Linked DNA regions of Mus musculus. The protein of the gene in region 1 interacts with the protein of each later gene in a biochemical or structural test. Links are inferred from orthologs where the notes say so. Each region holds a gene or a part of one and is shown in the gene's direction. Other genes may lie near its edges. The genes, in order: Nup98, Nup88 and Nxf1.

Region 1 (3,650 bases):
GGCACGTGGAGTGAGCAGATATACCTTATAGTTGTGCAGCTTATACATTGAGATGAACAAATTGGGAGAAATGAGCTGGCAAACTTAAATGAATGGTTTTTGTGCTGATATATTTTGCACCACCGTTAATGATGGCCTCTCAAGAGGTACTGCCAAACCTTAAATCATTGGTTTTTGTACTTTCTTAGTTGTGAAGCACTGGAGCCTGACATGGACATTATGTGAAGCCCTATGGGGCCACCTGAAGGAGCTTGACGGCCAGCTGGATGAGCCCAGCGAATACATTCAGACTCTGGAGCGTAGAAGAGCTTTTTCCCGCTGGCTGTCACATACCGCTGCACCTCAGATTGAAGAGGAAGTCTCCTTAACCCGCAGAGACAGTCCCGTAGAGGCTGTCTTCAGCTACCTCACGGGCAGTAGGATTAGTGAGGCCTGTTGTCTGGCACAGCAGTCAGGTAGGAATGAGATTCTCTCTACCACTACCTACTTCTCCACACTACCCCTGCCTCTCAATTGTAATTTGCCTTCTAAATATATCTAAGTAAGATTATTGGTTCCTCTAGAGACCATGTCTTGTTTTCCTAAACAATTCTCTGGAACCTTAAATATTATTTATTTAATTAAAATTTTGTTGATCTTCTTATGTGCATTTGTAATAAAAATCAAAAAATGCAGATAAGTAGAAAGCAATAGGACAAAAATCACCCAAATTCTAAGACTTAGTCACTATAAACATTTAAATGTGTGATCTGTACTTAGGTGGTTATCCTTATAATAATGCATAGAGTATGCACAGATATATGCATATAGGACAACATGTTACATGCAAATGGTTCAAAGTTGCTGTCCAGGTTGTCCTCATAGTATAGTGGTGAGTATCCTTGCTTGTCAAAGATAGCTCCCTGAAAAAAAGCTGGGCCAGGACAGAACCCCTGTAGGAGAAACAGACTGAGATCCACCTGCTTCTGCCTCACAGATGCCAGGATTAAAGGTGTGTGCCACCACTGCCCAGTTTCAGCAGTGTTTTAATGTATAACATTGGCGTATTCCTTTGACAACTGATGAACTGAGTCTTTCCTCCCAAACCTGGAAGAAGATGGTGATAGCCTGTGTTTCATTAGGTCTGTAGATCCTTAGACCTCATGAGAAAACTTGTGTTTCTCTTATAGGTGATCATCGCCTTGCCCTTCTTCTGTCTCAGTTGGTGGGAAGCCAGTCAGTCCGGGAGCTGCTCACCATGCAGTTGGCCGATTGGCATCAGCTCCAGGCTGACTCCTTCATCCACGATGAGCGATTGCGCATATTTGCCCTGTTGGCTGGAAAACCGGTAATGTCATACTAATTTTCTTATAAATCTTAGACTATTAATATAACTGACAGTTTGGCCTTATTTCTAGGTAGAAATATTTTCAACCTAGTGTCAGTTAGTTGGGCATGCTGGCATACTCCTTTAGTCCTAGCACTTGGGAGATAATATTCAGGTGGATCTCTGTGAGATCTAGACCAAGTTCAAGACAAACCTAGTCTAGAGAGGTCCAGGATAGCCAGGGCTACTTAGGAAACCCTGTCTCAAAAAAAGAATTTTTAGAAAAAAAATTATTACATTTGTTTGTGTTTTTGCACACTTGCTCTCAAGCACGTGTGTGTACCCTCTGGCATGTGTATGAAGAACAAAGGATAACATGCCAGAGTTGATTCTCTCCTACCTAGTGGGTCTTGGGAGTCAAACAGGTCCTCAGGCTTTACCCATTCAGCCATCTCACTGGCCTAAAATACTTTATTAATTAATATAAACTTGAAATAATATTGGGGCTGGCAAATAAGATTGGGGCAGGTAAAGAAACTCACTTGCTGTCCAGCCTGAAACCTGGTCAGTCATGCCCTGTAACCACCTCTAACAAATTCTGCTGATCTTCATACACCATGGCATGCATGTGCTCACATACAAAAAGTCTATCCTATGTCAGTAATATTTACATAGTAAACAATGTATAATTATGTCTTCTCAGACATTTTAAAATCTATATTGATGTATAAGTTCATATTTGCACAGTTTTTAATAGCCACAGCTTTTCATTTTACCAAAATGGAGTAATTATTTTAATCCAGTTTTTGCTGTTTACTCTTTGATTATCTCTTGTGTCTGTATGTCCTTCTCATACTGATTATGGCAAGAAAATGGGAGGAGAGATTTCACATCGAAGCCATAACATTAAGACTGGGTGTGGTGGCATACTCCTTTAATCTCAGCAGAGGCAGGAGGATCTCTTGGTTCAAGGCTAATATAAGTGAACAGCTTATAGACAGGCAGTAGTAACCAAGGCAACCTAAAGTTGACATGGTAATGTTCTTGTCTCCTGCAGGTGTGGCAGCTCTCAGAGCAGAAACAAATCAATGTTTGCTCCCAGCTAGATTGGAAACGAACACTTGCTATCCATCTTTGGTATTTGCTTCCGCCAACCGCCTCCATTTCCAGGGCTCTCAGCATGTATGAAGAAGCATTTCAGGTGTGTGTGTATTCAGAAGAGCCAAGTGAGAACTCTAGTAGGTGCTTTGTCTTTCCAGAGAAGTCCTGCAAGCTAGATATGGTAGGCACACCTTTAATCCCAGCACTTGGGAGATAAGAGGCAGGTGGCCATCTAGGGCTACATGATGAGACTCTGTCTCAAAAAATTTTTTTCTAAAGTCATAGGAAAAAACCATCAAATAACACAATGCTTATTGCTGATTGCCCTCTTTCAAAATAGTATAAAATTGAAGTAGACCCAGCAAATTCAGAACTTTATCCTTTACCTTGCTTGCCTCGAGACAGGGCTCCTCTTCAACTTCTACCATTAACTTTCTTTTCAGAGGATGGGGGTGGTACCTTTTTATTTTTTTATTTTTTCTTTATTTCCTTTGTGGGGACTCTTTGAGACATGGTTTCTGTGTAGACCTATGCTGTCTTGGAACTCATTCTGTAGACCAGACTAGCCTTGAACTCAAAAATCTGCCTGCCCTTCCTGCCTCTACCTCCCCACCAGTCTACCCACCCTTTGCTTCTATTCTATTTAAGAAGTCATGAATTCTCTACTATTTTTTTCTACTTTTACGTGAAGTGATTTTTCATTTCTAAGACTAGCTTATCCCTTTGGGAATTGCTTAAGCCTGACATCAGGTTAAATTTGCCCCTTATTAACATTTAAGCTGAAAATTTTCAATGACATATCTCATGTCCCTTGTTATGATTGAAGTTAGAAAGTTGTTTTGAGCCGGATGTGGGGCACCTCTTTACTACGAGTGCTTGCAGGCAGGTGGTGCTCTGTGAGTTCTAGGCCAGCCTGGTCTAAATAGATCCAGGACACCCAGGACTACATATAATAGCTGTCCTCAACCTGTGGGTCATGACCCCTTTAGAAGTCAAACAACCCTTTCATAGAAGTCGCCTACAACCATGAGAAAACACAGATATTTACATTACAATTCATAACAGTAGCAAATAGCAGTTATGAAAGGCAACGAAAATAACTTCCTGATTAGAGTCACCACAGCTTGAGGAGCTGGATTAAAGGGTTTCCGCATTAGGAAGGCTGAGAGCCGCTGGCAGAGCTTGTCTATACAGGAGTCTTAATGATTGAGCCATGATACTACTAATTGAAAAGAGCTGTTAT
Region 2 (3,750 bases), on another chromosome or scaffold:
CAACTCTCCTAACCGTGTCTGATGTTCTTCAGGAGAGAAATAACTTCTATCTCACGTGACGTATACATACGGAGTGCTTCCCTCTGTAACCGAACGTTAGGTGGTGGTGTTGCTACTGCTGTCATGACTCTTAAAATATGAAACAAAGTCGAATCCTAGGATAGCATAACACCTACGCCGGCCAACAGCCCGGGCGGCGGCCGGGACCCAATCCTATAGCAAGAGATCCACCTCGCTGGCCAGGCACACCGGGCACCTGCTCCACAACCAGTGCTGAAGCGAGCACACCGAGGACAGAGGTCCTTGGGAAGATTAGGGAAGTGATGACAACCCAAACTTCACACTCACCTGCCTGAAAGTTTCTTTCCAGTGGGGCGAGCCCACCTGCTTGTACAACAAGCGGTGCGGAGACCCCGAGGACTCTGCCATCTCCTCCCTTAGCGGGAAACAGCGCCCAAATCACCGCCCCTTAGCCGCGCGCAAAGGATTCTGGAAGTTGTAGTCTCGGCGCAGTCTGTCTGTACTTCAGGCCGCCGGGCTTTCTTGGAATTGTATCTAGTTTCTATCCCCTCACAGTGACAGATTTAGGGGAATCCGAGGATAGATGAAGCAGTGACAGTTGAGAAGTAAACACCACCCGGGCTGAGGGAGGTGAATCTTGAGAGAAAGTTCTGGGTTTACCCAGAGGAAGTTGTCCAGTAGACAATCAGACACACATCTCTCATCCTTAACGCTACCCCCTCACTGGCCCAGCAGCAGCCCCAAAGCGATCCTTACACTCCACTCCGCCCCGCCCCGCCCCGCCCACCTTGGCTTCAACCCGCGGCCCTGTCTATCCTCTAGCGATTCTTTCTTATTGGGCCAACTTCTCGAGATTCCTACACTTTGATAGGCTGAAGCTGTGAAGTGCTGGCCGCGGATTGGCTACGCACAGCAGCGGGCTTCGTTTCCTCCCGCCCCTCAATCCTGAGCTGTTAGTTCAAGATGGCGGCTGCCGTGGGGCCCTTGGGCGATGGGGAGCTGTGGCAGAGCTGGCTTCCTAACCACGTCGTGTTCTTGCGGCTCCGCGAGGGCGTAAGAAACCAGAGTCCAGCCGAAGCGGAGAAGCCAGCGGCTTCGACTTCACCCTCGTGCCCGTCTCTGCCGCCGCATTTGCCGACGAGAAACCTGGTCTTCGGCCTCGGAGGGGAACTGTTTCTGTGGGACGCAGAAGGCAGCGCCTTCTTGGTGGTTCGCCTTCGAGGCCCCAGCGGTGGTGGCGTGGAGCCTCCTCTCTCCCAGTATCAGGTGCGCCGGTCCATCGTGAAAGCAATCAGCCTTTTGGTTCGTTGGCGGACCTGGGCTGGCGTCTTTTGGGAACGCCCCACTTCGAGTGGAATGACCCCGCTTTGTAGCTCAATCTGGTCTGGAATCACTATGTAGCCCAGGCTAGCCAGGAACTCCTGCCCCAGTCTCTGAGTGTTGAGATTACGGGTCTAAGTCATTTATAAACACCAAAACAGAGGCTAGGCCTGTGTGTGTGTCCAGCACCTGACATAAACCTAGAGCATGCACAAGCTCCGTAATATCTGTGATTTGCTTCGGTGGGGGTGGAGGGGTTTGTTGAGACAGGGTTAACAGCCCTGGTTGTTCTGGAACGCACTCTGTAGAGCAGGCTGACCTCATTAACAGAGATCTGGAGGATCCTGATCAGAGCTAGGATTAAGCCATGTGCTGCCACTGCCCAGTTCTACAACAGGCATTTAAAGACATGGGCCTACAGATTTAAAAGCAATTAGAAATATTATTATATTCAAAAGAAATCCTTATTTAAAAGGATTTTTGGCTTAGTATAATTCTCCATACTAAGGTAAATAATATATTGATGGTCTCATCATTATTTACGAATAATAAAAAGAAATTAGAAATCTAAAATGGTCATGAGAAAAGAAATAGGAAGTACCAGGGTGAGAGTATTTTTGAGGCTATATGATGCTATGACAAATTATTGAAACTCCCTTAAACTATCACTCTTTTATATTAAGTCCACGTAGATGAAGCAGTACTGCTTGCTGCAAGGCGCTTGAAGGTAATCTAGGGCCTTACCTGTGACCTTGGGTGACCTGGAGCTCAAACAGAGCCACCTGCACCTTATCTGGTGCTGGGAATAAAGGCGTGAACCTTTACACTTGGCCTGAAGCTCTTCCTTTCTCTACAGTACAGTTATAAGATGGTAATCTGTTGATACTTCCGAGTTTATGTATTTACTGGGTATCAAGAGTCTGCTTGAGGCCAGGAACACAGAAGAAAAATCTCAAGTAGCGCCTACTGGGTTATGTCAGGGAAAGTTTAGAATGTTTAAGACCTGTGGTATTACCCAGAGCTGTGGTGTGGAACTACAGAAAACATGCCTTTGTTCCCTGGCCGCAAGATCAGGGGTAATTTCTCCCTTTTTTTTTTTTTTTTTTTAAGTTTTTGTTTTTAAATTTTCTGGGTATGTATGTTTTCCTGCAAATGAGTGCTGCATATAACATCTATGTGCCTGGTGCACACAGATGCTACAGAGCCACCGTGCGGGGGCTGGGAATTGAACCCAGGTCCTCTGGAAGAGTAGCCCTGTGGTTTTTATTTTCAGTTTGTGTGTGTGTTTGGTGAGAGAGAGAGAGAGAGAGAATATGAATATGAATGAGCCCCAAGAATATGGGTGCTGGGAACCAAACTCAGGTCTTTTGCAAGGGCAGCAAGTGCTTTTAGGTGTTGTCATCTATCAAGAACCTAGAGATTATTTCTTGGGGAATAATCAGCTAATGACACAGTTAGTACATGCTCAGAATGCTATTTATAACTTTAGAAATTTAAAACGTGATTATGGTTTCAAGCAACTCTGAAATAAATTTATATTAAAATTAACTATTTTTACTAAATGGTTTTACTTTCAGAGATTACTCTGCATTAATCCACCCTTGTTTGAAATCCATCAAGTCTTGTTGAGTCCAACCCAACATCATGTAGCACTTATCGGAAGTAAAGGACTTATGGCATTAGAATTACCTCAGAGGTGGGGGAAGGACTCTGAATTTGAAGGTGGAAAAGCAACTGTGAATTGTAGGTAAGTTGTATTTTCATTTAGTATTTATCTGTGTAAGTTGCTAAGACCCAAAATGGTTGAAATGTATTTAGGGGCCACTATTGAAACATTTGAGCATTTGTATGGTCCTGCACACTGACTTCCTGTGGTACTATTGTTGTCCGTTCTTTTTTAAACATGTATGAGTGGTTTGCCTTCATTTAGTAAGTGCAGTGCTTGTGTGCCTGGACAGCAAGAAGAGAGTGTCAAATCTCCTAAACTGGAGTTAGAGTTTAGCTGCTACGAGGTTGCTAGGAGCCAATGTTGGATCCTCTGCAAAAGCGGCAGGTGCTCTAAACTCCTGAGCCACCTTCCCAGTCCCTGCTGTTATTTTTGAAGAATACTGTGTTAATTTTTTTTTTGGATTTTAAATTTTTTTTAATTAGGTATTTTCCTCAATTACATTTCCGATGCTATCCCAAAAGTCCCCCATACCCTCCCCCCCAACTCCCCTACCCACCCATTCCCACTTTTTGGCCCTGGTGTTCCCCTGTACTGGGGCATATAAAGTTTGCATGTCCAATGGGCCTCTCTTTCCAGTGATGGCCGACTAGGCCATCTTTTGATACATATGCAGCTAGAGTCAAGAGCTCCGGGGTACTTGTTAGTTCATAATGTTGTTCCACCTATAGGGTTGCAGATCC
Region 3 (3,650 bases), on another chromosome or scaffold:
CATGATTCAGAGCAAATGCAGTGTCCCCTTCAATCCCATCGAGGTAAGACAGAGTTAGACCTGAAAGGCTGTGGAAGGACCTGTGGACTCCAGATTGAATGTTGTTTGTTTTCCTTCTTCCAGTTTCACTATGAAAATACACGGGCCCATTTTTTTGTGGAGGATGCCACTACTGCTTCTGCATTAAAGGGTGTCAACCATAAGATCCAGGATCGAGAAAACAGAAGGGTATGTGGACAAGGGCCTGGTATGGCACAGTTGGTGCACTAAAAGGGACTAAGTCTTAGTGCTGGTGATTAGGCTGCCCTCAATTATGTTCCTGCCTTTCTGTCTTCTCTTCAGATATCTATCATCATCAATGCTTCTGCTCCACCCTACACTGTACAGAATGAACTGAAGCCCGAACAAATAGAGCAGCTCAAGGTAAGGCTGGCTCAAGTGACATGGTCCAGCAGACTTTCAATCTCCATCAGTGACGACTAAACCCTTCGTTTTCCTTCTTCTAGCTGATCATGAGCAAACGATATGATGGCAACCAACAAGCACTTGACCTCAAGGGGCTCCGCTCAGACCCAGGTATGACTGACAACAATGGTTCTGACTAATTGGAGAGGGGAAACAATTGGTCTTTATAACACTGGTATGGGCAAGACCTCTCAGACTTCCTTTTCTTTCTATTTGCTACAGATTTGGTGGCCCAGAACATCGATGTTGTTCTAAACCGCAGAAGCTGTATGGCAGCCACCCTGCGGATCATTGAAGAGAACATTCCTGAGGTGAAGCTTTTTTTTTTTTTAATTTTAATTTAATTAACTAATTATTTATTTATTTATTTTTGCATTAAAAATCAGGGTGAGATGTGTAGGATAGGATGAGATACAGATTTGCCCCGTGGTAACACATCTAAACTTTGTTCTGTTCCTAGCTATTGTCTTTGAACTTGAGCAGCAACAGGCTATACAAGCTGGATGATATGTCTAGCATTGTGCAGAAGGCGCCAAACCTAAAGACCCTAAATCTCTCCGGAAACGAAGTAAGACTGACATCTAGGGTGCTTTTGTTTTTAATAGTTAACTGACTATGGAGGTGGAGGTCAGACTGTGTTGGGAGTTGAGTCTTTCCTTCTACGTGGGTTCTTGGGCTGTGATGCTTATGAGGTGAGAGCTCCTGCCCACTAAGCCATCACACTGACCCTGCTGTGTTTCTGTGATGGTGGAGCCAGGAGAGTGTGGCTGGCCATAGTGGGAAGCAAGAAACAAAACTTAGGTAGGATTTAGAAGTGTGGGAATCCAGCTGCTATTCTTAGTAAGGTCTGTTTCTTCCCTTTTACTCTCCTCATCCTTCACAGTTGAAGACTGAGCGGGAATTAGACAAGATAAAAGGGCTGAAGCTGGAAGAGCTGTGGCTTGACAGAAACCCCATGTGTGACAACTTCGGAGACCAGTCCAGCTATATCAGGTCAGTTGTAGCCTCTGTCTCCCCTCCTGGGGACATTCACCCCTGGGAGGCTGAGCTCATGCACCCTGACCAGTGCCCGTCTACAGGAGAACATGCAGCCCTGAGCTGGAACCACCTGTTCTTTGGGAGGAGGATCATGTATTCCTTTCTGCCTGTCTGTTGTCTCCTAGCTCTGTCCCAGATCTCTTCTTTCTTCTCACCTGACTTCTGTTCTCTAGTTCTGGCCTTTCTCCTTCTTTCTTGAACACAGCCTTTTCTAGAATCTCCCTACCTGTTATTCCAGGAAGAGCACCTCCCCTTTTCTGTTCTGATGTGGAGGTGTCTTATATATGCCCTACCTGTGTGTTTGTCTTCAGCAAAAGCCTGGTGTGCTTAGGCTGTGAGAAAGTCCTTTCTTACTGGGGCTGTCTACTGAGACAGGCCTTCCTTTGTCCTTTCATGGTCCCTCTTGCCGTTGTACCAAGAGGGACTCTTTATTTTCATGATCCACTTAGCCAAGGCTGTGGCCTGGTCCTTTCTGCCCATGCTGATGTTGATGCCTCTTGGAGGCTGGTACCATGCTATTGGTCTCTCTTGCCCAGTGCTGTGAACTGGGCCTTTCCTGGAGAAGAAATCTGGGTTTCCCTAAGATGTGATCAAAGCCGGGGCCCCGCCAGCAGGCGAGGGGGATCCCAAGGCAAGTGCTGGGCGTGGAGGCCACAGGGGCATCTGCTACCAAGGAGACAGAGAAATGACCCTGTCGGGCACAGCCCCTCCCTCACTCGCACACCTCACAGTCACCCTGCTTGGCCCCGAGGATGGCTGGTTAGCCAGAGACGGGTAAGATTCCTCAGGGAAGGAACAACCTAAGACAGGCACAGTCGCAGAGGGGCCATCAGGAGAGAACTTGGGGGCCAACTGAGGTGGGGCACAGACCCTCACCCCCCCAACTCGGCAGAGGCCTGAATCCTCATGTCTTCTGAGGGAGGTTTCCTGGCCCCATGGCTACTTTACCTCCCACGCCCAGCTTAGACCGGGACCCAGAGAGCAGACAGAGACCTGGCCAACAGCAACTGCAAATCATTATAGGATTTATTCTTCATTTCTACCTTGGGACCACAGGAAAAGGGCAGCTGAAGGAAATGGCTGTTTCAGGAGGTCTTTCTTTCTGCCATTCTTTTCTGAATGCCTCTGCCTTCAGGTCTGTCCCTGTTGCTTTGCTTCCTCTTTGTCTCTCCATTTCTCTCTTGTTCCTGCCCTACCTTTCTCCATTTCTCTTTCCCTTGGTCTCTTTTCTTTCCTCCTCCTTGAGCCCTGTCTTGTTCATCTCCTTGCCCCAACATCCTGTGCCATACTTGTGGTGTGTTCTGGTCTTGGCGAAGGCCAGACCTGGCAGAACTGGTGGATACCTGGTGAGGCAGCGGAGCCCCTGGGCTCCAACCCCATTCCCTCCTCCCGGGGCTGCACAGGTGAGTAGGTGGAAGGTAAGGGGGGCAAGGTGGGGAAGGCAGCCCTAGGCTTAAAGCCTGGGCTGAGAGTGCCCTCCTGTGGCACTCGGGATCAGGCAGCAAGACAACAGAGCCAGCCTTCAAGGCAATTAAGAAGGGGGTGCCCCTGGTGAGGAGGGGAATGGGGGTTCTTGTCCCCATGTTTAAGTTGGGGAGGAGTGGGCGATAAGCAGGATGGGATGGGCTGTTCCTCGGGTTTTTGGTGTATTTGCTCCTAGAGCAGCCCAGGAGGCATGATGGCTCTGAAGCGTCACTCACTTCTGTCCCGTTCTTGACAGCGCCATTCGCGAACGATTTCCCAAGTTATTACGCCTGGTAAGTCTAACATTTTGTTCTCAAGAACAGGGACAACCAAGGTCTTGCCTCTATTTTGTGACCACTAATGTGGGTGTGTAGATTTGTTTGAGAATCTGCTAACAGTGGTAATCTTCATCTTAGAAATGCCTGTGGACAAAGTTTATATAGGATCCCTGCACGCTCTCCGTGTCTTTTAGCTTTTCTCTATGCTCACAAATCCAGTCTTTCTTCAGTTTCTCATATTACATTCACTTCTTTTCACAGGATGGCCATGAGCTACCCCCTCCAATTTCCTTTGATGTCGAAGCCCCTACAATGTTACCACCCTGCAAGGTCAGAAGTGGGGTTAGAATTAGAACTGTGAGTGGGGAGCATATTGGTCCTGTGATCTTAATTTCTTGTTTGATT

What was found.
Region 2: the proteins of Nup98 (region 1) and Nup88 form a complex in vitro, tested with the Homo sapiens proteins (2 studies listed by BioGRID). The link is inferred for Mus musculus from reciprocal best matches to the Homo sapiens genes NUP98 and NUP88.
Region 3: the proteins of Nup98 (region 1) and Nxf1 form a complex in vitro, tested with the Homo sapiens proteins (5 studies listed by BioGRID and IntAct). The link is inferred for Mus musculus from reciprocal best matches to the Homo sapiens genes NUP98 and NXF1.

What each region holds. Positions count from the first base shown.
Region 1 is NC_000073.6:102,126,621-102,130,270, reverse strand, and holds part of Nup98 (nuclear pore complex protein Nup98-Nup96 isoform 1 precursor), read left to right. Parts: intron 1-188; coding exon 189-455; intron 456-1,169; coding exon 1,170-1,327; intron 1,328-2,363; coding exon 2,364-2,507; intron 2,508-3,650. UniProt on the Homo sapiens protein: Plays a role in the nuclear pore complex (NPC) assembly and/or maintenance. NUP98 and NUP96 are involved in the bidirectional transport across the NPC. May anchor NUP153 and TPR to the NPC.
Region 2 is NC_000077.6:70,967,186-70,970,935, reverse strand, and holds the start of Nup88 (nuclear pore complex protein Nup88), read left to right. Parts: upstream 1-962; 5' UTR 963-984; coding exon 985-1,287; exon of another isoform or gene 1,288-1,849; intron 1,850-2,918; coding exon 2,919-3,088; intron 3,089-3,750. Other genes in the region: Rpain (RPA-interacting protein), read right to left, coding at 349-429. UniProt on the Homo sapiens protein: Component of nuclear pore complex.
Region 3 is NC_000085.6:8,763,574-8,767,223, forward strand, and holds part of Nxf1 (nuclear RNA export factor 1), read left to right. Parts: coding exon 1-43; intron 44-123; coding exon 124-228; intron 229-342; coding exon 343-423; intron 424-506; coding exon 507-576; intron 577-687; coding exon 688-776; intron 777-925; coding exon 926-1,033; intron 1,034-1,348; coding exon 1,349-1,458; coding exon of another isoform or gene 1,459-1,702; exon of another isoform or gene 1,703-3,223; coding exon 3,224-3,260; intron 3,261-3,506; coding exon 3,507-3,575; intron 3,576-3,650.